Caenorhabditis elegans: one gene and its partners. The protein of the gene in region 1 interacts with the protein of each later gene in a pairwise test. Each region holds a gene or a part of one and is shown in the gene's direction. Other genes may lie near its edges.

Region 1 (9,625 bases):
ACATATGTTCTAGAGACATTTTATTATTTTAGCAGAAAATGGGTAATTTTAACTATTTCCTTCACTTTTCTCACTTCGTTACTTCAGCTTTATAAGTGAAATCCCAAAAAATTAAAAGAAGTAAATTCAAACCAAAAACCAATTTTTAAAAATTTTTTAAGTCTTCATTTTCAAATCTCACCAACTTTCACTGCCTTTCACCAATTTTAACGTTTCTCTATTTTCCTTTATAACATACTCAACTAAATGTTATTTTTTGAACTCTGTATGTAATGTTGCCTTGTATTAACTACCATTTTCTTTAATTTCTCACTAACTGTCTTCTAATGTCATAATTTACCTATTTATTTTCAGAATGAAGAAGGGTTTGACAAAAGTTGCATCGAAGAAAACCGAGAAACCGTTTCTGCTTGAAGAGTTGCCTTCATTGCCACTCGGTGATATTGTGAAACAATTGCCAATGTTCGAGCTGTAAGTGTTTATTATCGAACAAATACGATCGCACAATGTTCTCATAATTTATTTTTGATCTACCTTGTTGACTAGGCTCATTCCCTTCCTTTGACAAGACAGCCACAACAAAATAACAACGGCAACAAGATTGGGGGCGGGGTCAAGTTCAGCAGGTAGATCAAATATACATTATGAGAAGTTTGTGCGATCGTATTTTTACAATAATAATATAACATTTTAAGTAGTTGTTTGTTTGATTTCCTAGAAGTTTATCTTGAACTCTGAACAACTAGTACATTAATTTGATTGAAAACTCTCAATATAGAGAATACAACCAAGTTTTTAAATTAAATCGCATATCGCACTTCACCATAAATCTGAAAGCGACTTGGGAGCAAGCTACCCAGGTCGCTCTCTCAATATGTCCTGCCTTCGCAAGCTTAAATTCAATTCAAATACGGTTCATTTTTAGCGTGAAACTGGCGTTACTATCTCAAAAAGCAAAGAGATGGGTATTGGAGCACTCGCGTCGACATCTTGTTCAATTGACTGTCAATCTCGGAGAAACGTTCATCATCAAAATCGGATATGACGGAGAAGCAACCAACGAGATTGTGAACATAAAACTGGATGATATGCCTCCAAAGAGGGTGTATAGAACTAGGAGCTCAACGAGACTGCCAATGAATTTATTGAAAATTGACCCCATTTTCCCATCATGCTGCGCCAAAAACACCTATGGAACTCGAGTCGAAACAGTGAAGTATTTGATTAAATACTTTTCAAAGACGTTCAAGATGATCTCGATGGAACTCACCTTTGATAAGCAGCCCGACGCTGTGATTCTTGATATCATCAACCTTGTGAATCATTTGAAAATCAAAATGGATACTCTGGCAGTTGCTGGAAAGAACAACAGCGACGAAGTGTTCAAGTGCATCATTGATGAAGTTAGCCGAGTTTCGTCTCTTCAAATCTGGGGATTCCCAAATGGCGAAAGACTGTTGGGCTTGAATGATGATTAAAATTTTCTGAACTTGAATAACTTTTGATAATTTTTTGTTTCTAATTATAAGGTCAAATGTTAAGCCTCAGTAATAAATCCATGTATTTCTTTCCTCTTCCATCTGTTTTTTTTTCGTATTCCTCACTTTCGCTTTTCCCATTTTTAGATATCCTATAAATTATCAAAAAAAGTTCAACTAATAAAATATTGTCCATAATTACGTCTACTTGTATTTAACTGTTTAAGTTGCTTACCAGTGTCATGACAAGAAATACAGCGGCCGACATCTCGTGAGCCCGTTTTTGACAACTTTTACTGATTCGGCCGTATCTCGAAAACTAATTTTTTTCTGGAAATGTTTTTGAAGAAAAATAATCTTCATACTACTTGCCATCATTTGTGCCTACTCACTTTGTTTTGAAAAATTCAGCAAAAAAGTTATGGAAGTGCAAACTAGTCCCTCACTTGGCACTGCTCATGCTGTACAACCAAAAATCAGGTTACTTACTTCGAATATATTTTTTTCGAGCATTTTTTAATAATTACAAATGTAAAATCACAATTAAACTTTATTTAAACACGATATCAAAATTCAGGGAAAAAAAATTCTTCACTTGCGAGAAATGCTCTAGTTGTAGTCGTACACTATTCAAGTTTAATCTATCATAACTTTTTTGCTGAATTTTTCAGAACAACGTGAGAAGACACACATGATGGCAAGTAATATGAAGATTATTTTACTTTGCCAACACTTACAGAAAAAAAAGTTTTCGAGATACCGGCAAATCAGTAAAAGTTGTCAAAAACGGGCTCACGAGATGTCGGCCGCTGTATTTCTTGTCATGACACTGGTAAACAACTTAAACAACTGAATACAAGTAGACGTAATTATGGACAAAATTTCTTGAGTTGAATTTTTTTCGATAGCATGTCCAGTTTTTAAGTTGTGCTCGTTTGAAAAACTTGTAAATTTATCAAAAATCGAAAATTGGATAGAATTATGGCCGGCACTGTATGTAAGACCTTCAAAACGTGCTCCTCTAATCCGTTGCTGTTCGGTACTCTTGTTACGTGTTAAGTTGGGACAAGTTTCCTAGCTACTCATAGTTTGTCTGCACTCTCCTAGTGACGAGAAAAAGATGAAAAGATAATCTCTCAAGGAAAAGCAGATTAATCAACAAAGCGCAGCAGAACTTTCAAATTCATTTTAGTTAATAAGTATACGATTTCCGGTGACCGAATATATGTAGTTGGTTTGTGTTGTATTTTGAATTCTGGTATATAAAATATAAGTAATAATATATAAGTAACCGTTTGAAATTGGAAAATTTTTTCGACGCAAACTTTGCCAGTGATATGTTCAATGAAACATGCTAGTTTGAAAAAATTAAGCATACAAGCACATTCCTATAAATAATTTGGTGGCCACCTTCTGTTATGTTTTATCAAAAATTAGACCTCCCGGCTATTTTGTTACAATCGAGCAGACACCCCCCCCCCCCCCCCCCCACGACACCTGTTCTCTTTGAGCACTCCATAACGTGGGAAGGCACATCTTGCGTCATATGTGACCCGACAGTCTCCTACAAAAATATGGGAAACGGGGCAGATTGAGTGATGATGTAACTTGTTCTGCGCAGTCTTCTCTGCCTGTTCTCGACCTTTTTGCGAGGATTGGCTCCAACATACGTTTTGCACCACTTCTCGATGTTTTTTAGTTTGTTTTTCAAAATTAACATATAGTTTTTCATCAATTTTAGACAAAACTAATTCATTCAATTAATTTTAACATGAAATGAAATATTCAGAACTTAACTTTAGTTGTTTTAGAATAATAGGGTATGCATTGTTAAAATTACAAAAAGTGAGATTTATATCCAAGTCTTTAAATTTTATTGTATTGCAGTTTTGGGATTATTTTAGATTTTTATTAGGAAATGCATGCAATTTTTGCAATTATTGATAGATGTACAGTTTTTAGTGTGTGTGTGTTTTTTGTTAATTTCGAGGATTAATAGAAGAAAAATCCTCTTTAAAATTTGAGTTCACACTTTTTTCCACTAGCAATATTAATTTTGAATATTTTGATCACGAGCAATAATTTTTTCAGGATTTTTTCAAAAGATGGATAGCGGTGGCCAAGGTTCAGGTTCACAAGACCAATTCGAAAAAACAGAACAACTCGTTGATGCACAATATCCAGTTCCGACAACATTGAAGCCAGATTTTTTCACAGGTGAACATTTTAATTTTGTGTTAATAACACGATCATACAATAAAAAAGGTTTGTAAACTGACAGGAGACGGAATTTTCATATCGAGAAATTAAAAAAATCCTTTTTTTCAATGTAAAAAATCTATATTTGAAATTGATTTTCATATGACTAGTTTTTTTTTCAAGCGAAGCATTATATTATTCTTTATATACATTTAAAGGTGGAGTACTGCCAGTGGAGAAATTGTTAAAAACCACTCGTTTGGTCACAAAATGACCAAATATCATGATAAAACTTTTCAAAAATTTTTGAAAATTTATTATTTACTGTCAAAAAGTGGCAATTACTCAGTTTTTGCCACTCATAATTTTCGAAGTCGACCAAAAAAACAATTTTTTCGACATTTTTTATGTTCTAATTTTGTTTAAATTATTTTTATTAAAATATTGTAGGGGTCGCAACATGCGGCATTTCTTTAAATTTCCTCAAAAGCTAGTAGATTCTCCAATTGTCAGCACAAATGATTCTGAACCAATTAATGAACAAGTTTATTCAACACAAAGTAATCATGGCGAGCTTCAAGATAAAACCGAGATTGATGAAAGAAATCGAGTGGATCAGTGCTTCGATAATGATCAACCATTTAACGGAAACAATTCAAAACTGTTAGAATCCGAGTCTCATAAACTGGGAGAGTCGTCAACTGAACCTTCAGGAACAACAATATCATCAGGAAATTATGAAATTGCTGAAGACTGCTCGGATGAGACAGAGCAATTCATCGATCCAGACAATCAAGTTCCAGCAGCAAATTTTATTACCAGTAAGCTTAAGATTTCTTTGAAAAATGTGCTCATTCAAACATTTTCTTCATGCAACTTTTTTAGTAACTTTTTCGGATGGGAACTGAAAATTATAAAACTGTGTTGCGTGTTTGCAGAGATTTTAAATATTGGGCTAATTTTTTTCTAAACAAAATGTTTTTTGAATTAATCGTTTTCATTTTCAGACGACTGCACAACAATTGAACAAACTGCAAAAATTCAAGAAGAAAGCGGAACAGATTCTTTGATTGTCAGCACAAATGATTCTGGTTCAACTAATGAACAGATTTTGCCAACACAGAGCAATGATGCTGACTTTCGTGAAAGAATTGAAATTGACGGAAGAGATCAAGTGGATCAGCATGGCAACAGTTATCCACCAATTAGTGGGAACAACTCAAAATTGAGAAAATCAGAGTCTCATGAACAGGGAGAATTTTTAGTTGGACCTTCAAGGAAAAGAAAGCCAGAAACACTAATTGAAACAAAGAGTAAGAAAAGAAAATCGGCGAGAGGAAGACCATCTAATAAGTTGAATCAATTTCAAATACATCAAGTTAGTAGTGACTGGAACGCGAACGCATTTCTTCAGTTTGCTCGACGAGACGCAGCTGGTACGATTCTAGAGTCGGAAGAAGCGAAAAAAACCATCGATGCACAGTTGGAACACTTTTCGGTATGTTGTTTCAATTAATATTAAAAAAAAAAAGAAATAGCACTTTAATAGTGTTGTAAACCTACTGACCCTACTGATAATGAACATGAAATTTCAATATAAACGAAATGTGGCTCAATTTTAAAATATAACGTTTAAATGTCAAACGCTATGTCAAACTTAAGTTATAATCAAAAAATTATTTTTTTTCCAGAAATTTCCTAATTCTTTTGGAATCGCATTAAAGATAGGAACAATTTAATAACTTTTTAATAATTTTCTAAATGTTAGAAAAATAAATAAATGAATTAAACTATTATACACACTACCAAGTATGCTCGTTGATATCATAAATTTTTACATATGCATTGTAAACATAAAACAAAGACCAATTTGAAAAGTTCAAATTTTAACACAGAACTTAATAGGGAGTTTTTTAAAACTATGTATAAAATGCGATCGGTGCGATCGGAAAAAAGTTGAACGTACTATTTTATAGCAGACATTTTGAGCTCGCATAATTGATAATTGTTTTCAGCGAAAAACTCAAACTTTCAGGTCAAAATTTTTTGTCTAAGACAGGACGTTGTAGGACGTTGTCAAAGCAAATTACAAATTATGTATATGCTTTTAACAAAACTTTAAAATATTTGCAGGAGCCCTCGTGCTCGACGGATGTTTCGGTTCATGTTGTCAGAGACAACGAGAATCTGGGCTTGGTGACAAACAAACTCCGATCGCTAGCCATTCCACCAATATCCAACCTTCCCAGTGATCTGCCTTCATTATATAAACTCCCGAAACTGTTTCTAACCGGAGCGACTTTTATGGACGTCTCAAAATCAAAAGGAAAACAAGTTATTACGAAAGCAAGCAAATGGATCAAATCTGGCAAAAATCTCGTATACGAAACATCTGGCTGTTCTGAACTATTTGATGAAACAACAAAATTCAACACTGATGGAAAGATTGAAGAAAACACAAGTGAAGAATACACAAATAAAGATCAATACAGGTTACCTGTTCCTATCTATAATATTGAGAACAACAGCGATGAAACATCAAATTTTATTAAAAATATCGTCAATACCACAACCATGTGCATCTTTCGAGGAATCGAAGAAGCATTTGGGATGGATCGCCAAACGTTTGACATCTCCACATTGGCACCTCTCTACCCCGATTACCCATTGAAAATTCGTCGACAGATGCCCCAGTCATCAGCAACCAATTTCTACATGAATGACAAAAATACCGTGCAGAGATTGGGAAATGCCTGGGCTGTCTTCGATTTTGAAGGAGTTACTCAGTTGAGAGATTTTGCGAAGAATTATGAAAGCCTTAAGGATATAGGAAGGTCAGGTACGTTTTTGAACTGTTTTTTTTTAATTCTTATTTAGCGAAAGATATTTGAGTTTTATAAGAAAATAAGTATCTTATAAAACCCAATTTCAAAATTTTTAAAGATTGGTCTAAAATTCCAGTCAGCTTTGAAAACCAAATTAGCGAAAACTTTTCAAAAGATTTCCAGGAGTTTTGAGCAAAATAAAGCAACGTCGCAACCATTTGAACCTCAATGGCATCCCAATGAAAATATTTGAAAAATATTTAGATTTTGAAATTCGTATAAAAAAAAGCACTTACTTCATTGTCGACCTTTAAATTATGGGTAATCAGAACTGAGTTCTCGCCAATTTTTGACTCTTAATCAACCCACTTGGGAACTTTTTTGATAAGTTTTAATAAAAACTAGAGAACTTCCAAAGTTTATAAAAATCATTAAATTTGTTCACCTTTCATTTTTCAGCTTACCAAGCTATCCTACGCAATCCTTCCGCATTTTCGGAAGTAATGGATGACATGAAGAAGCAAATCAAGGAAAATACGATCCCACTCAGTCCTGAACACAAACTTACAGTCCATGAAAATGCGACAGTGTTGGCATTTGGAACTAATATTGATCTGGATGATCAGCGATTCAAGGAACAGCTCGATGTATGTCGTTTAAAGTTAACGGTAGATAAATAATCATTATTTTCAGGAGATCAAAAAATTGCCTGATTGTTTGAGACCCGACGGAGCCGGGAATCTTCTCAACTTTGCTCAAGAGTCACTTGCAGGTCTGAACAAACCTCAAGTTTATTGCAAGCCTCCCGGAGCAAGAACCACAGCTCACCTGGAGAACCAAGCTCTCGGGTCCATTAACATTAATCATGGACCAGGTGATTGTGTTTGGTACGGAGTGCCCATGGAGTACAGTGGCAGAATGGAGGTGCTGATCAAAAAGCATCGACTTAATGTTTATAAAAGCGGGTACTGGCCAAGTGAGCAGGAATTAAGAAATGAAAAGATACCATCGCAAAAGTTTCTACAAAAGCCTGGAGACATGGTGTACGTCGGTATTGGAACATTTCATTGGGTGCAATCTAATGATTTTGCAATAAACGTCTCCTGGAATGTTGCACAACCAACTTTTAATCAACTGGCTGCTGCAATGGTCATTCACGATCACAACATCTCGAGTAAAGCAACTACTCTCATGCCTATTGAGCCAATTGTCTGGAAAATGGCTGAAGATGGAGTGGAGGCAGAGGATGAGAATATTTTCCTGGCTCGAAAGGCTATAATGCTAAAGTACGGTTTCGTCACAGAATCATAATACTAGATAACTAATTAATTCAAAATTACAGAAGTTTGGCAAAAAGCCAGTTTGAGTTCGATTTCGCCATTCAGGAAAATATGCTCATCAGATCAGCAAAAAACGAGAAATCGATCATCCCTGTTGAGCGATGCTCTATCCAAAAATGCCGGGAAGTTCTGTTCAATATGATCACACTTGACAATAAGCAAAATCCATTCTGCCTTAATTGCATAGTTAAAGGGTGAGTTGCATTTTGTGAAGAGTGATAACTGATAAATGCGGAAGAAGGGATGTATTGTTTACTCATCATAGAAAATTTTTTTGTATTTTTTTTTTCGAATTATCATTTTTTTATTGCATTTATCGGTCGTTTATCCAACGTTTTTTCGTTGAATAACGTATATTCAAACCCGATGGAAGGCCATTTTTTGGTGATTTTTGGTTAACTATCTTGAGATTATCTACCAAAACATGCAATTAAAAAACAAAAGCTCAAAAAAGTCAAATTTGTGACCGTTGCGTCACGGAAAAATCTCCCAAATTAGAGAATTTTTCGTACGAAATTTGTTTATTTGAGTGCATTTTAAGTATATATGTTCAAACATGTAGACCACTTTTATTTTGGTTAAAAAAGTAAAAAACACACGAATAGCAAGATAAAAATAGTTTAATTGGTGTCAAAGTGTCGCATTTTGGTTTCTTCGGGAAATGCGAGAGAAGAGACGGAGATTTTTCAGCTGATTTCGCATGGCTATACGTGTGCTGACGTTACATTTTTCTGGAAGAGAAATTCCCGCATTTTTGTAGATAAAACCGCAATGAAACAGCCTGACACCACGTAATAATCTAATATTTAATTTTCCAGAAAAGTCAAAGCAACAGCATTTCAAAGGCGGGACATTGCTGACTTGGTGAAGATATTTGACGAGTTTAAATGGGTGTCCTGAAACTTTTCTTTTTTTCAACTTTCGATCCTCAATTTTCACAGCTTTCTTTTGTATTATACAATTCTTGCACATTTTGAATCACTTATCGTTTTATTGATCTTGTTTTGATTTTTTATTATGCAACATTTTTCGATATGATCAATTCTGTTTAATAAAGTCCAACTTACTAATTATAAAAAAAATTTATTCTTACATACAAAAAAGAAATCGAAAATGTTTAGTTGCATGGGTTGACAGATGGACGTGCTGTGGCCATTGGCATATTATCTGAAAATAGGAGTTTTTGATTTTGTATGCAATTATTTTGAAATTACTGAAATCCTCTGGGTCTTGTGGGTAGCGAAAATCTTCAGCGTTATCAATATTTGGAATTGGTGCGGACAGAGAGATCCCAACGAGCAAAACCATGAAGAGAGTCAAGAAAGACAGTAGGAAACGAAACATTTTCTGAAAGATGAGATTGGGTTAGGAAAAAAAGAAACACGAGGAGTTCGGTGAAGAAAAATCAGACAATGACGAAAAGATGTTTTCAATGTTATCACACAAAATGTTGAGGTTGAAGCAACTGCGGCGGCAGTTGTCAATTTTCCCGGTGACATGTAAATAAAAGAGTTGGTGAATCATACAATTTGATTTCTAGAGAAACGATTGAAAATATATTCTGTTTAGAAACCTGACTTAAAATCAAAACCTGAGTTAAAATCATGTTAAAAATAAGTATACAATTAGGAAAAGAAAAACAGGTACATATATCTCTCCAATAATAACCGTCAAACTACAGAGGTTTTGAGTGTATTTTCCCTTCTCGCCGTTTTTGTGGTTCAGGGCAACGGCCAGAGCAGTGATGCAACTGTGCTTCTGTGCTGCTCCATATACTTCAGTT
Region 2 (5,306 bases), on another chromosome or scaffold:
AGAAAAATGTGTGCATTGACGATTTTTATGAGTATTACAGATGTCGTCAATTTAATGTTGGAAAACGTAAATGCAAAACAGAAAGAGACAAATGAACTGTTTTTTTTTAAATGATTTTCAATTGTTTTTAAGAGAAATAGTAGCGATAATTGTTGGTCAGTAACAGTCAAAACATGACTCATTTTTTTGTCGAAATGGTTTATCAATTTTCGTGGAAGCCCCTTGTGGTCGGATCAATCAGACTAAAGCTGCGATTTTTATAGATCTTGTTATCTCTATTAACAATTGCGATTTTTAAGTTACTTCAGAGTAACCAAAACGAGTTCAGGTTATTTTAAAAATAATGGATGGCGTAAAACAAAATTTTTAGAACCACTTTTTGAACCTAACAAAGTATTGGAAGTATTACCAACAAAAAAAGTTTCAGAACTCATTTCCCTAAAACAAAGGACAAAAACATTCAGGCCAAAGGCAACCCTGTATACAGAAATAAGACAGAAATTATCATCGTTGCAACGGGGGGAGACAACAAAAAATCAGAATTGAGAAAGAGCCATGCACCATGAGTCAGGGATTTTTCGTTATTAATAGTTTTTGATAAAATTTGTCCCTTTTTGTTGAAGCTGAGGAGGCTTATTGATTTGAAAGTTTGTTCACATAACCTTTTAGTTGGCAATTGGTACACTTTGGAACACTGAAAACGGAAATATCAGTTTCAGTGATTTTGATTGAAATTGAATACTAATTTCCTCACCAATTACATTCAATCACTTGACTTGACTTCGCTATTAATTTATTGCTCATAGTTTCAGATCTTACCTTCACATCTGCTACAAAATGGACCGCAGAAAGCTTCAAAAAGAGGCAAGAAGTGAAATGAAAAAGGTGAGTATTTCAATCTCGTTCTGAAATTCAACTCATCTTTTATATTCAGACCGCCAATGGCGTCGACCGTGCCACATATAACCGAGCAAAGGCTCTTTTGGAGATAATCCGGAAGGTTAGAAATATACATTTATTCGTCATCACATTACATTTCTAGAATGCCTAGGACCGTTTCAAGACATCTGTGAGAATTATGGAAACCCGCCTTCAGGAAGAGATTGCCACAAATGATCTGGCTTCCTCCACGATCTCCAAGGTGAGTCATGATAATTTTGACTCGGCAAGTTTCCAAAAATTGTCTTCCGTCGTTGTACGATGAAATTTATGGCTTAATATATTAAAGAATAAAAAATAAAAAATTGTAATTTGGGAGACAGATGTGAGTATATTTAAGGTCATAGCTACTGCCATAGGATTACTGTAGCCAATATTCCAGTAGCTGAACTATTCCACGGGCAATCTCCGTTGTTATCATGATACTGTATGATAATTGTAATAAAACTAAAAATCGTTTCTGAGATCATGAGCGAAGATCAAATGAATTTATTGGCGGGTTATTATAAGGCTACTGTCGTGATACTGTAGTGATACTGTTGCCGAAATTCATATCATTGGAGCAAACAGGGAACACAATTTATATTATAAATCGTCCTATCAACTTTCAAACTTATGTCGTTTCAGTCACGCCATGCCATTTTTGCGTCCATAATCGAAGAGCTCAAATCAATTTCCTCTCACTTTTGCATTCCAGCTCTTCCAATATGATTGTTCTCCATATTTATTCTGTTGACCACTGTCAATTCAAAATAGATATCTTCTTATATAAAAATTATGTTCGAAGAAACTGTTGCAAATCAATCTTGTTTAGAATTACTGGCAAAATAATTTCAGTTGTTTTCTCCTATTTTATTTCTTTTCGAGATATTTCTGTTTAAAATGTTGTTCATCCGGTACAGTTGATACTACTATAAACTTATAGAATAAATTAACACAGTGCCAATATCCTAATTCACAGTCTCAGCCGGAATTTCCCAGGCAGTACCCAATCGATATCCAGTCGTCTAGTTTCGCATGGTCCCAAGACAAAACTGGAGATGTCCAGCCTCGTTCTCATGAGAACCTCACTGATGAACCATGGGAACCCATGATGGGGACTGTAAAAATAGAGATTTCAGAATAATTCCCATGGCTCCAAACGCTTGATACAAAGCTCCACCCTCTGAACAATAATGGAACTATAAAAGGTAACCATTTATTCATTGTTCATTTACTTTCTTGGTGGATCACTGGTCTGCTGGTTTAGTATACTTTTTGATAATTGTAACATCAGGAAAGTGTACTGATTTTGATCAATTACTTTTAAAGCATTCAGTGAACTGTATACTTCTAGAAAAACAGCACGAGTTATCTCACTAAACTAAATCAATTTGTGCTGCTTTCTTGGTCTCATTTTTCTGTTTTGTCACAATTATTCCTTTTATTTAACGGCTCATCTTGAAATTTTATAAATTCTAGATTTCTTCTTGATTTTAAAAAGATTAAAACTTATCAAATTTCAGATGCCAAAAGTTATCCCATCTTCAATGAGCGATTATCGTTCCGTCCCATACAATCAAACTCCAAAATCAGGATCTGAACGGAAAAGAAGAAATATTACAAACGAGTTGATTAACGAATGCAAGACGATTGTTCAAAAATCAGAAGAAGAACATATATCGTAAGTTTAAATACTCTGTTAGCTTAAAATAGTTATTAAACTAATTCATTTTTTAGACAAGAAGTAGTTCTCTTCCGAATTGTGAAACTTGTGACTGGAGTTAATCTGGAATCTAATTTCTCATCGAATGACCTCTCCGAATCTACAAGACGGAAGTTTGATACTGAATCCGAAAGAAGAAAAGTGAAGACTGAACGTGAAAAGATTCGAAGAAAGAAACAAGATGACTGTTATGCTGAATTGAAATTCTTCATTTTGAACAAACAAATGGGAAGTTACGAGCAACGGTAAGAGTTTCATTATGGCTAATAAAAATTCAAAAAATTATTTTCAGATTAAAACTTGAACGGATCACAATTCTAGAAATCATCATTGATTACATTAAACACAATTCCGATCTTCTGTATCCAGAAACAATTCCCCAAATACTTCCTCTTTTAGCTGGAAAATCAACTGCTACTTGTGAGAACAAAGAGAATGAAAAGCCAAAAACACGAATGGAAGTGAAGGATCTCTTCCCAAGATTGACGTTTCAAGAAGTTCAAGAATCCCCAACATCTACTTCTCCATTGCTCACATTTCCATGTATTCCAATGATCCCAACTACTCAGTTCAATGTCTTGTCAAACTACAACACCGTTCCATCAATATTTTCTGCTCCCCTCCGATTCATTCTTCCATCACTTCAAATCTTAACACCAGAAACTAGTGACGAGGAAGAAAATGAAGAAACCGTCGATATTAGTAACTAGTCTATCAAGTTCTTCCAGATCTTACAATTAGTTTCTGAGCAATTTTTCGAAAATCTTCATTGTCTATATTGCGTTTTTGATTCATTTTTTTATCTTTCTATGGCCAATATTCCCGAACTTTTTCATCCCATCGCGTCGCAATCTATTTTTGAAGATTTTTTACTACTCACGTGATAGTCTTGTCTAAATTATTCTGTTTGAAAATGAATGTTTATTCGGTAAAATTTGTTAGCCAGAATACAAGCAAGACAAGTATGTATAATCAAAGTTCCATTAGTCCACACCAAATTCCATCTCCCAGTCATACGGAAACTCTTCAATGTCCTTGTCTAGCATCACTTTTTGCAGTGTTGTATAGATCATCTCATAATCGGGCTCCTTGAAGAACGAAAGACTGTCGATATAGCTGGAAATGGAAAATTACGAATAAATCAGCTTTGGTAGAGACTCACTTCATAATCAAGCGAAATTCATCTGGGCAGCCAGCAAGGAATTGGCCCATGATCGGTTGGAAGCGGGAATTCTTCTTCATCGCACCAATCTCGCCAATCTCATTTACATTTTTCCAGGGAAGAGCTGCATTGGTGAAATCGACGAGCATGTAGAACCTAGAAAAACACATTTTCTCAAATAAAAACTATTATTCTTATTTTCAATTCTAAGTGATAACCCAATCTGGCCTTCTGGCATCTTTACAGAATATATCACATAAATGACTAGTTCTTAAATTGATTAAACTAGCCAGCTTTCCAAATCGTCCTTCAGTCCATGTTCCGCCGTATTATGTGATGCAAGCGGTGCATATCGAGGGCTTCCACGAAATGGCACAGTTTTTCTTGGCTCGAGCATCAAATTTTCGCGATCTACATACTTTCGGCAACATCCGAATCTAAGAACAAAAATGTTGCGAAGCTCGCCTTGGCTTGCTCTTCCGAGATAGAAGTTGCCAGGGTTCACATCTCTGTCCAAGAACCCACTCCAATGCAAATCTTCCAATGCTTCCAAGCATTGAAACGATGCCCCAATCGCAGAGCCCAAATGTCAAATGACCATCAGGCCCAGTCTTTATAGCATCTTGCAGGGATTTCCCAAGAAGCTTCATGACAATATAGTTAAAGTTGTCATGGCGTCCCTTGTCTGAAAGATGGGGTTACGGTTACCTACAAAAGTGTACTACATACCAATGAGAGTAGGCATGTGGCTGGGCGACTTCTCAGATACCTTTGTCATCACACAAAGCTCAATTCTCAGCGACTAAAAATAACATTTTCTGCTTAATGGTTCGACAGTATTAACTCACATATATCTCCTTGGTATTCAACTGAGCCTTCAAAACATGCTCCTCTCCAGCATCATCTCGCACAGCATACACTGCTCCGAATTCACCATCTTCAAGTTTCTTGAAAACCTTGTAACGACGAACTCTATAGTCAATACTTAGCTGAATAACGGGAGCCTCCGTCATCTCGTGACGAGAATAGATTTGAAAATAAATTATTTATGGATTTTCGGAAAATATTGATCTTGTCGTTGACGAACTTTTTTAAACACAACGTTATCACATCTTTGAAGTCCACGTTCAAAAAAAGTTTTTCTTGTTTTTTTCTGCAATAAAATTAACTTCATAAACTAGAAAAGGAGATTTTCAAAAATCCGGACTGTTGATTCAAAATTATTTCAAATTGTTTTTATTCTGATATATATATATATATATATAATATAAATTAACACAATTCTAATATCCCCTTTACATTCTCAACCAAAATTTCCTATAAAAAGGGGAAACTCACGCCCATAACATGGCCAAATAATTGTTTGTCCATCTACGGGTCTCGCAGCGAAAATCAAAGTTTATTCGGTGTTTTTTATTTATCTTTTTTTTTTGGGAAATTATGAAACTAATTTTTGTTAAAATGATTGCAATTTCCAAAAAAATCAAAATTTCAAATTAA
Region 3 (6,681 bases), on another chromosome or scaffold:
CTTCCTAAATTTTTTGCTAGTTTTTACAGTGTTTTAATTGTTTTATTCTAGATTCTAGAATCTAGATTTAACACATTTTTAGCTTAACAAATTTTTCCAGGTTTGCTCCGAAGAATCCATCGAAGAATACGCCCAGTTAATGGAGCAACGTGGTGTTTCAATCTCAAAACTTCGTCTTCTCGATTCTTTGCACTGCCAACATCTCCGATCTCATCCCGTGACGTACACTCAAGAATGCCTAGACTTTGTGAAATCAGGCCATCTACCAGCGAATAGAAGTCGTGTGCCGTTAGAAATAACTGAAGAAGCTGCACAAAATGATGTACCTGAAGAGCTTGCCTACTAGATTCATATCTATAGATTTTTATTGTTTCTCTTAATATTTATAGATGGTAATTCGCATAATTACTTATATATTAATTGACCGGTTCTTCCCATCTCCTTTCCCAACGTTCCATCTCTATGTCCCAGTTTTATTCGCTTTAAAAGCTTTTGCTTGATACTATTGACATTAGATATAAATTATTACTTTTTGAAAGTCCCTGCTATTACACGAAAAAAAGTTTCCTTCCTTCTAAAAAAAACTAAACTAAAAACAGAATCTTGGAAGCGTAAATATTATTTAGATGAGGGGCTCCTTATTACGTATGCCGGTGCGTGCACTTTCTATTTTCTTCCTTTTTTTCTGAATTTTTTATTTTCAGCCAGGCGTTTCCCTTTCGACGTAATTTGTTCTCGAAATCACCTGAAATGTGAATGGGTGGGCAGAGGAAACACAAAAAAAGAGAGAATTCAAATTGATTCTGATGTGATGCCATTTCCACTAATCTCTCAATTCTTACTCCCACCATTTTTTTGCAATGATTTCCGAATTTGTGACTGCTTTTTCGTTCCGATTTCATTTTGATGACCGTGTACAAAAAGATGAGCAGACAACCATAACGAACGCGAAATTGTATGGAATCGTGAGAGACATAAGTATGATTAGAGAAAATACGAAGTTATCAATTATGAGTAGATACTACTGTTGATATTGTAAATTGGAAAGTGAATCACAAATCATGACTATTGGAGACCAATGAAACACTTTCAGATTTATGTTCGAAACTTCGTACCCAACTTGGTTCCGAAATTGGCAAAACTTGGCCAATTCCTGGTTCACGAATGTACAATTCAAAAGCCTCTAGATATCAGCACAAATAAGCCAAATAAAACATGAAGTTAGTAATAATAAAAGATAATTAGCATCGATCGTGTTAGGCCGAATGACTATTCTTATGCAAATTACGGTGTTTCTATGAAAAAATTAAGTGCAAGTGCCGAAAAAAATCTACCAATCAAAATTAACTTTGCAAATGCGATACAAATTCCCAAATGCAATGAACTGATATCTACCGTACTTTCCAAATGGTATGGTACACGGTATGTTACCTTGAATAAAACTTGTTTTGATATCTAGACGAGTTGTTTGGTATGCTGAATAACATGGTAAAACAGTTCAAAAAATTAAAAAATGTTTGTAACTGTAGTCAAAATCTGGCTATTACTAATAATATGTTATCACGTATTACAAATATGAAAGATCTAGGACCGAACATGCAAAAATAGTATAAATTACTTTGAAAAAAAACCTTTTTTTTGCATTGTGCCAAAAACAAAACCTCAAACAATTTCAAAAAGAAAATCAAAATATGTTTAGATTTTGTAAAAATGATCTAGAGTATTTCTGGTCTAGTTGAAGTATGTGCAGACAAAATTCTCGAATGTCATAATCGAACACTCCAGAGTAAAATGTTCATTAACAGTTTTAGTAAATTGCCAAATTTTCCAAAAAATGTTTTCTGGTCGACTTCCAAAATTGGATTTACTGAAACATGAGTTTTTATTACTCTCGGTTTTTATTAATTTGAAAAACCGGATCAGAAAGCTTCAAACCCCTGCAAAAAACGTATTATATTTTAGTTATTATTGGGTGCATAAACAAGATCTATGGGTAAAAGACTAATGAGGTCAGGCCTAAAAAGAATGAAAAACAAGATGAGCTCTGAAAAAGCCAATGAACTTCCAAAAAGATAAGTGGCTGATGGAAAGGCAAATACAGAAGTCAAAGGAGCGGAGAGAAATGAGGGAAAAGAGACGGAGAACGTGAAGCAAGCACACTGACACATTATTTACGGTAACATTTTTCTGCGAACTTTATCCATTTCCTCTCTTTCTCTCTCCATTTACCTTTCTAAATGTCAATTGGGTGGTGGAAAGAGAGAATGAAAAATAGAGAGAATGAGAAACTTCTGGATTCTCTCAATTTTCAATGTTTTCTTTCAATGTTCGTTTGTCTATCTGCGTCTATGGATGTCATGGATCTGGAAAATAGAGAGAAAGAGATAGAGATAGAAAAAGAGAGAAAAAGGAAAAGAACGAGTCAGCAGAGGAAAAGAGACAAGAGTGAGTGTGCGTGTGACTCATTCTCGGGGCCCCCGCCGACTAACCCCCATCGCCATCGTCGTCAACCGATTCGTCATCAACTTCTCTTCCTCTCTATTCAATTCTTATTTGTCAAAAGGTTTTGAAATCAAAATAAAACAAAAATGGAAGAGGATCAAGAGGAACCACCATCCTCATCAACATCATCAGAATCTCCAGAAGTTGTTCTAAAAGCTCCAAAAGCTCCAACTCGAAGAAGGAAAAATTCCAAAAAGGGTTAGTTTGTTTGTCTAGTTCAAAAGTTTTGGAATACTTGATGATAAACCTGTCACAATAGGAAATGGACAATCATGGTTACAAAACTATAGTTTCACTACTATCAAAATGCCAAATTACAACTACCAAACATTTGTGATCTCGTGATTTTATCGTTAATTGATGAAGTTGTTTGTCAAAACATTATATCAATTTGTAGATCTATGTTTAATATGAATTCTTTGAACCCATAAAAAGTTTATGACGCGTGCCAAAAAAAACAGGTGGTTGTTAAAATTGTTTTGTATTTTTCTTAAATGATTTGTAAAATTAAATCATATTGTTTCTTACCAAATTGAAAGTTTTTCTATGCAACAATTTCCTTTCAACTGGACATAAAACACTTAAAAATAGAGTAAACGGTATAATCCTGGCTCCGCCCACTTTTATGAATGTTCATCATTACATTTTAATCATCACAAAAACTACGAGCGAGACTCTAATTCGGAGAGAGACGCAGTGATCGAGAAAAAAAAATCGAGTTGACACGTGATTTTCGATTCCAACGACGCAGCTACTGTAGTGATCGAAGCGGCGCACAGCTTTTCCCGCCCGTTCCATCTGGCAACTGTCTGCGTCTCTTCGTCTTATATGGTCTCTTTTCTTCGAACTGTTTTTTGTTGATAAACGCATATGCCTAGTTTAGCGGAAGTGTAGAGGCATTAGGGTTAGGATCTAGGAACTTGAAACTATATATATATATATATTCCTAGACCATATTCTGTAAACTTGGTAAATTTTTTGAACTTTCATTAAACCTAAATTCTTGATTAATATTTAAAATTGCAATTAACGGTAAAACTATGTTTTTTTGGAAAATCTCTACCTCCTACTCTAGCTTGTCCCCTAGCTTTACTTTGAAGATTTGTATTATTCAAATCCTTCAAAAAAAGCTTAAATATATTATGGTATACAAATCCGACAAACCTCATTTCTCTAAAACCTTCATCTAGAAATTTAACATATTTCAAACCCGACATTTTTTCACAAGAACTACCTAATAAATCACCACAATATGTCTCTCCGCCCTCTCTTGGTTTGAGAGCAATATTTCATTGGTTCGACCTGATTGTGCCAAATGATAAGACTAACAGCTGTTCCTTTCGGAAGTTTCATTATTAGCTCATCAGATCATTTTAGTACACTATTTGGGTTTTTTAAGGTTTTGTCGAAATTTATAGTTAGGTATTTTGAAAACGTTCTTCGAAGTCATATTGACAAAAGTACAATACGAAAATACAAAACACACTATAAGTACAGAAAATTCAAGCAAAAGTTCAAACAATGCTATTTTAAAATTGATTTTGAACGATCGAATGCTATAAAAAATCTAAAATGATCTTACAAATGGCTTATCCCGGCCCTTCGCTTCTCTATTTTACGTCGAATTTCTCGTTATCAAGATTTTTGCAAAGAAGATGTTTAAAAGTTTGTCTTGAAATTTTTTTTAGCTACGTGAGCTGAACTAATTTTCGATGCGTTTATTCTCGAACTTTGGTTTCTTAATTTCCATTTTATCCAGACATATTTTGTTCATTCGTTCTATCCGTTCCCATTCATTTCTTGGAATGAGTCATCGGGCTTTCGTAAATGTTTTGACACACACTTTGCCCCTTTTTTCCTTCCCATCTTTCAGTTTTTAGGCTCTGATTTCTGTTCCATAACATGCATGGGTAATGAGATGAAAGAGGCTATGGCAACTCTTGCGAAACAGTCATATGTTTGATGAAATATTCAGGCGAATCTCTGTTAGTATTTGTTCTCATTTTCTGCAGAAGTTGTTTCAATTTTAGAATGGAACCTGTAGGTAGTTAGTCATTTTGAACTCAGTTTTAGCTAGGTTACCCATAGTAGATCTATCTAGAGAGGTGCATCCTCAGGATCCACTGCCTGCCTCAAACCTACCCGCCCCTCCTGGCTTCATATTTTTGATTCAACGATGTTTGGCGCTCGAATTGTGTTAACTCATGAGTTATTAATATTTCTAGGCACAAGGCAGGCAAGGGTTGCCGTGAAGGCAAGCCAAGTTCCGATGAGGCGCATGAAGCCCTAGTTTCAGCCAATTCCCATCAAACCTGACACTAATCTTTAAAGAACATATTCATGACGTTCTGCTCGTGGAAGACTGATCTGCTCTAATATTTTCTTTTTGATGTTTATCTCTGAGCTTTTCTGGTTCTCTAGTTTCATCTACATTTTCTGTTAGAGAACATCTGAGAATCTTTTTCTTCTTCTCTTTTTTTCACTTTTTCTATTTTCCCACCATCATAAACACAAATTAAAGAACGTGCTTGGATGGAGCATTATGAAAGTTTTTCACTTTCCTTTTTCGTGTCGCGTATTCAAAAACTTTAAACAACATTTCCCACCAACTTTTTCTGCTAATCAGCGTAGTTCCAAGAACATCGTTAACATGTTTTGTTAATCAAATCTAACACGCGTTTCATGATCAATTGATGTTTGTGTTATGAAGTTATCTGAAACATTTTTCTTCATATATATTGAATCTATTTTTTTGTTATGCTTTTCTCGATTCCCGCCAATTTAGGATATATTCTTGTTGGAATTGTACTTCCTAAATGTGCTGATATTTTGGAAAACAATTATTTTCCGGGTCTTTTGATTTGATCTATGATTTTGCAGTGGCTGAATTTTAAATAATTATCAAAGAAATCATAGTTTTTGTAAATATACCTAAAGAACATAACCGTATTTTAATATGGAATTGATCAGAAAATAATCAATCAGTTGTTTCAAGAATCACCAAGAAATGGAAATTTATAATTCTCTATCCTACCAAAAATAGAATCGATTTCAAGTTTTTTCACATAACTAGAAATTTTAAAATAACCACCAGAACCACAGTTAAGGTAAATGGAACACAAAGTTGACTGTAAGGGGTTCGAGGGACGAAAGGCGCCTCGGTCACGCCTCGACCGAGTGGAATGCCTACTAGAAGCACAGCATCAGAGACTGTTCACGACATTTAACAGTTACAGTGATATGGTAAATAACGAATTAGCAATATAATTCTTCCCGTTTGTCTTGAAATTGTAAGCAATTCAGTGTGCTTTCAGTTCATCCTGAAATGTCGGGTTGTTGAGTAGTGAGTCATACTCGCTTATCACCAAAAATGGTTCTCCACCTCCATCTCATTCTCTCATCGTTTCGTTTCGTTTTCTTCTTCTTCGTTTTCCGATTCTCATTCTTCTCTATTTATTTTGTGAATCGATGATGAATAACTCGTTTGATATGAATGTGACACAACATACCAACTCTTCACCATGTAAGGGTTCATTTTAAGAGTGACAGTTTCATTTTCAAATGACACGAATACCAAAAGACTAATTCCAATCTCTGAAGTATTAAAAGTTAACTTTCAGATCGGCGACAGGATATGGAAGTAGATGATGGCGAGAAGGAAAGCACAGCACAGTACTGTAAAGGATTTTATGGTGAGAATTTTGAATATTGAAATGAATGGAAATTTTAAAATAAAAAAAGAAAGTCACAAATTGAGAACTCAAGAATAATCGTTTGCTGATCAAATATTCAAAAAATGGAAATCACAAAGTAAAAACGTCAACAAAACTGTTGTGTGACTGATAAATGAATGTCTTTCTCATCACAATCAGAAGGTGGCATACTACTTTAAAACAATTGTACCACTGTTATGACTGGATGGAAAATGAAAAAAAAACTAACTTAGATATACATAGTCAAGATTTTTTTAAAGTTTTCACCTGAAAAAATTAATTGATTTCAATTTTAAATTTTCTGCACGCCAGAATATCATTAATCCTACACCTAGTACCACAAATTTTGAAAAAAAGTAAAAACTATTTTGAACCGAATTAAGACAAAAGAAATACTCGACAACTTGCCGCAGCTAATTCAGCAACTTCAAAAGAAAAAACTCAACTCAATTGACTTATAAAAGTT

What was found. Proteins that work in one complex are often made in the same cells at the same time.
Region 2: the proteins of jmjd-3.2 (region 1) and hlh-27 interact in a two-hybrid assay, tested with the Caenorhabditis elegans proteins (one large-scale study listed by BioGRID).
Region 3: the proteins of jmjd-3.2 (region 1) and jun-1 interact in a two-hybrid assay, tested with the Caenorhabditis elegans proteins (one large-scale study listed by BioGRID).

What each region holds. Positions count from the first base shown.
Region 1 is NC_003284.9:14,444,647-14,454,271, forward strand, and holds jmjd-3.2 (JmjC domain-containing protein), read left to right. Parts: upstream 1-3,563; 5' UTR 3,564-3,583; coding exon 3,584-3,695; intron 3,696-4,258; coding exon 4,259-4,498; intron 4,499-4,684; coding exon 4,685-5,175; intron 5,176-5,810; coding exon 5,811-6,516; intron 6,517-6,961; coding exon 6,962-7,149; intron 7,150-7,195; coding exon 7,196-7,788; intron 7,789-7,844; coding exon 7,845-8,036; intron 8,037-8,660; coding exon 8,661-8,742; 3' UTR 8,743-8,921; downstream 8,922-9,625. Other genes in the region: F23D12.4 (F-box domain-containing protein), read left to right, coding at 356-471, 926-1,478; F23D12.7 (Neuropeptide-Like Protein), read right to left, coding at 8,960-9,009, 9,057-9,186.
Region 2 is NC_003280.10:5,537,348-5,542,653, reverse strand, and holds hlh-27 (BHLH domain-containing protein), read left to right. Parts: upstream 1-2,440; 5' UTR 2,441-2,444; coding exon 2,445-2,602; intron 2,603-2,658; coding exon 2,659-2,889; intron 2,890-2,936; coding exon 2,937-3,354; 3' UTR 3,355-3,579; downstream 3,580-5,306. Other genes in the region: C17C3.24 (uncharacterized protein), read left to right, coding at 1,079-1,141, 1,567-1,650; C17C3.11 (Protein kinase domain-containing protein), read right to left, coding at 4,244-4,491, 4,536-4,608, 4,655-4,819.
Region 3 is NC_003280.10:9,110,703-9,117,383, forward strand, and holds the start of jun-1 (Transcription factor jun-1), read left to right. Parts: upstream 1-2,454; 5' UTR 2,455-2,588; coding exon 2,589-2,700; intron 2,701-5,914; exon of another isoform or gene 5,915-5,973; coding exon of another isoform or gene 5,974-6,025; intron 6,026-6,122; coding exon 6,123-6,194; intron 6,195-6,681. Other genes in the region: T24H10.4 (Transmembrane protein 53), read left to right, coding at 101-346. UniProt on the Caenorhabditis elegans protein: Transcription factor that recognizes and binds to the AP-1 non-canonical enhancer heptamer motif 5'-TTAGTCA-3'. Required for ovulation. Controls plc-1 expression in the spermatheca to regulate spermathecal valve dilation.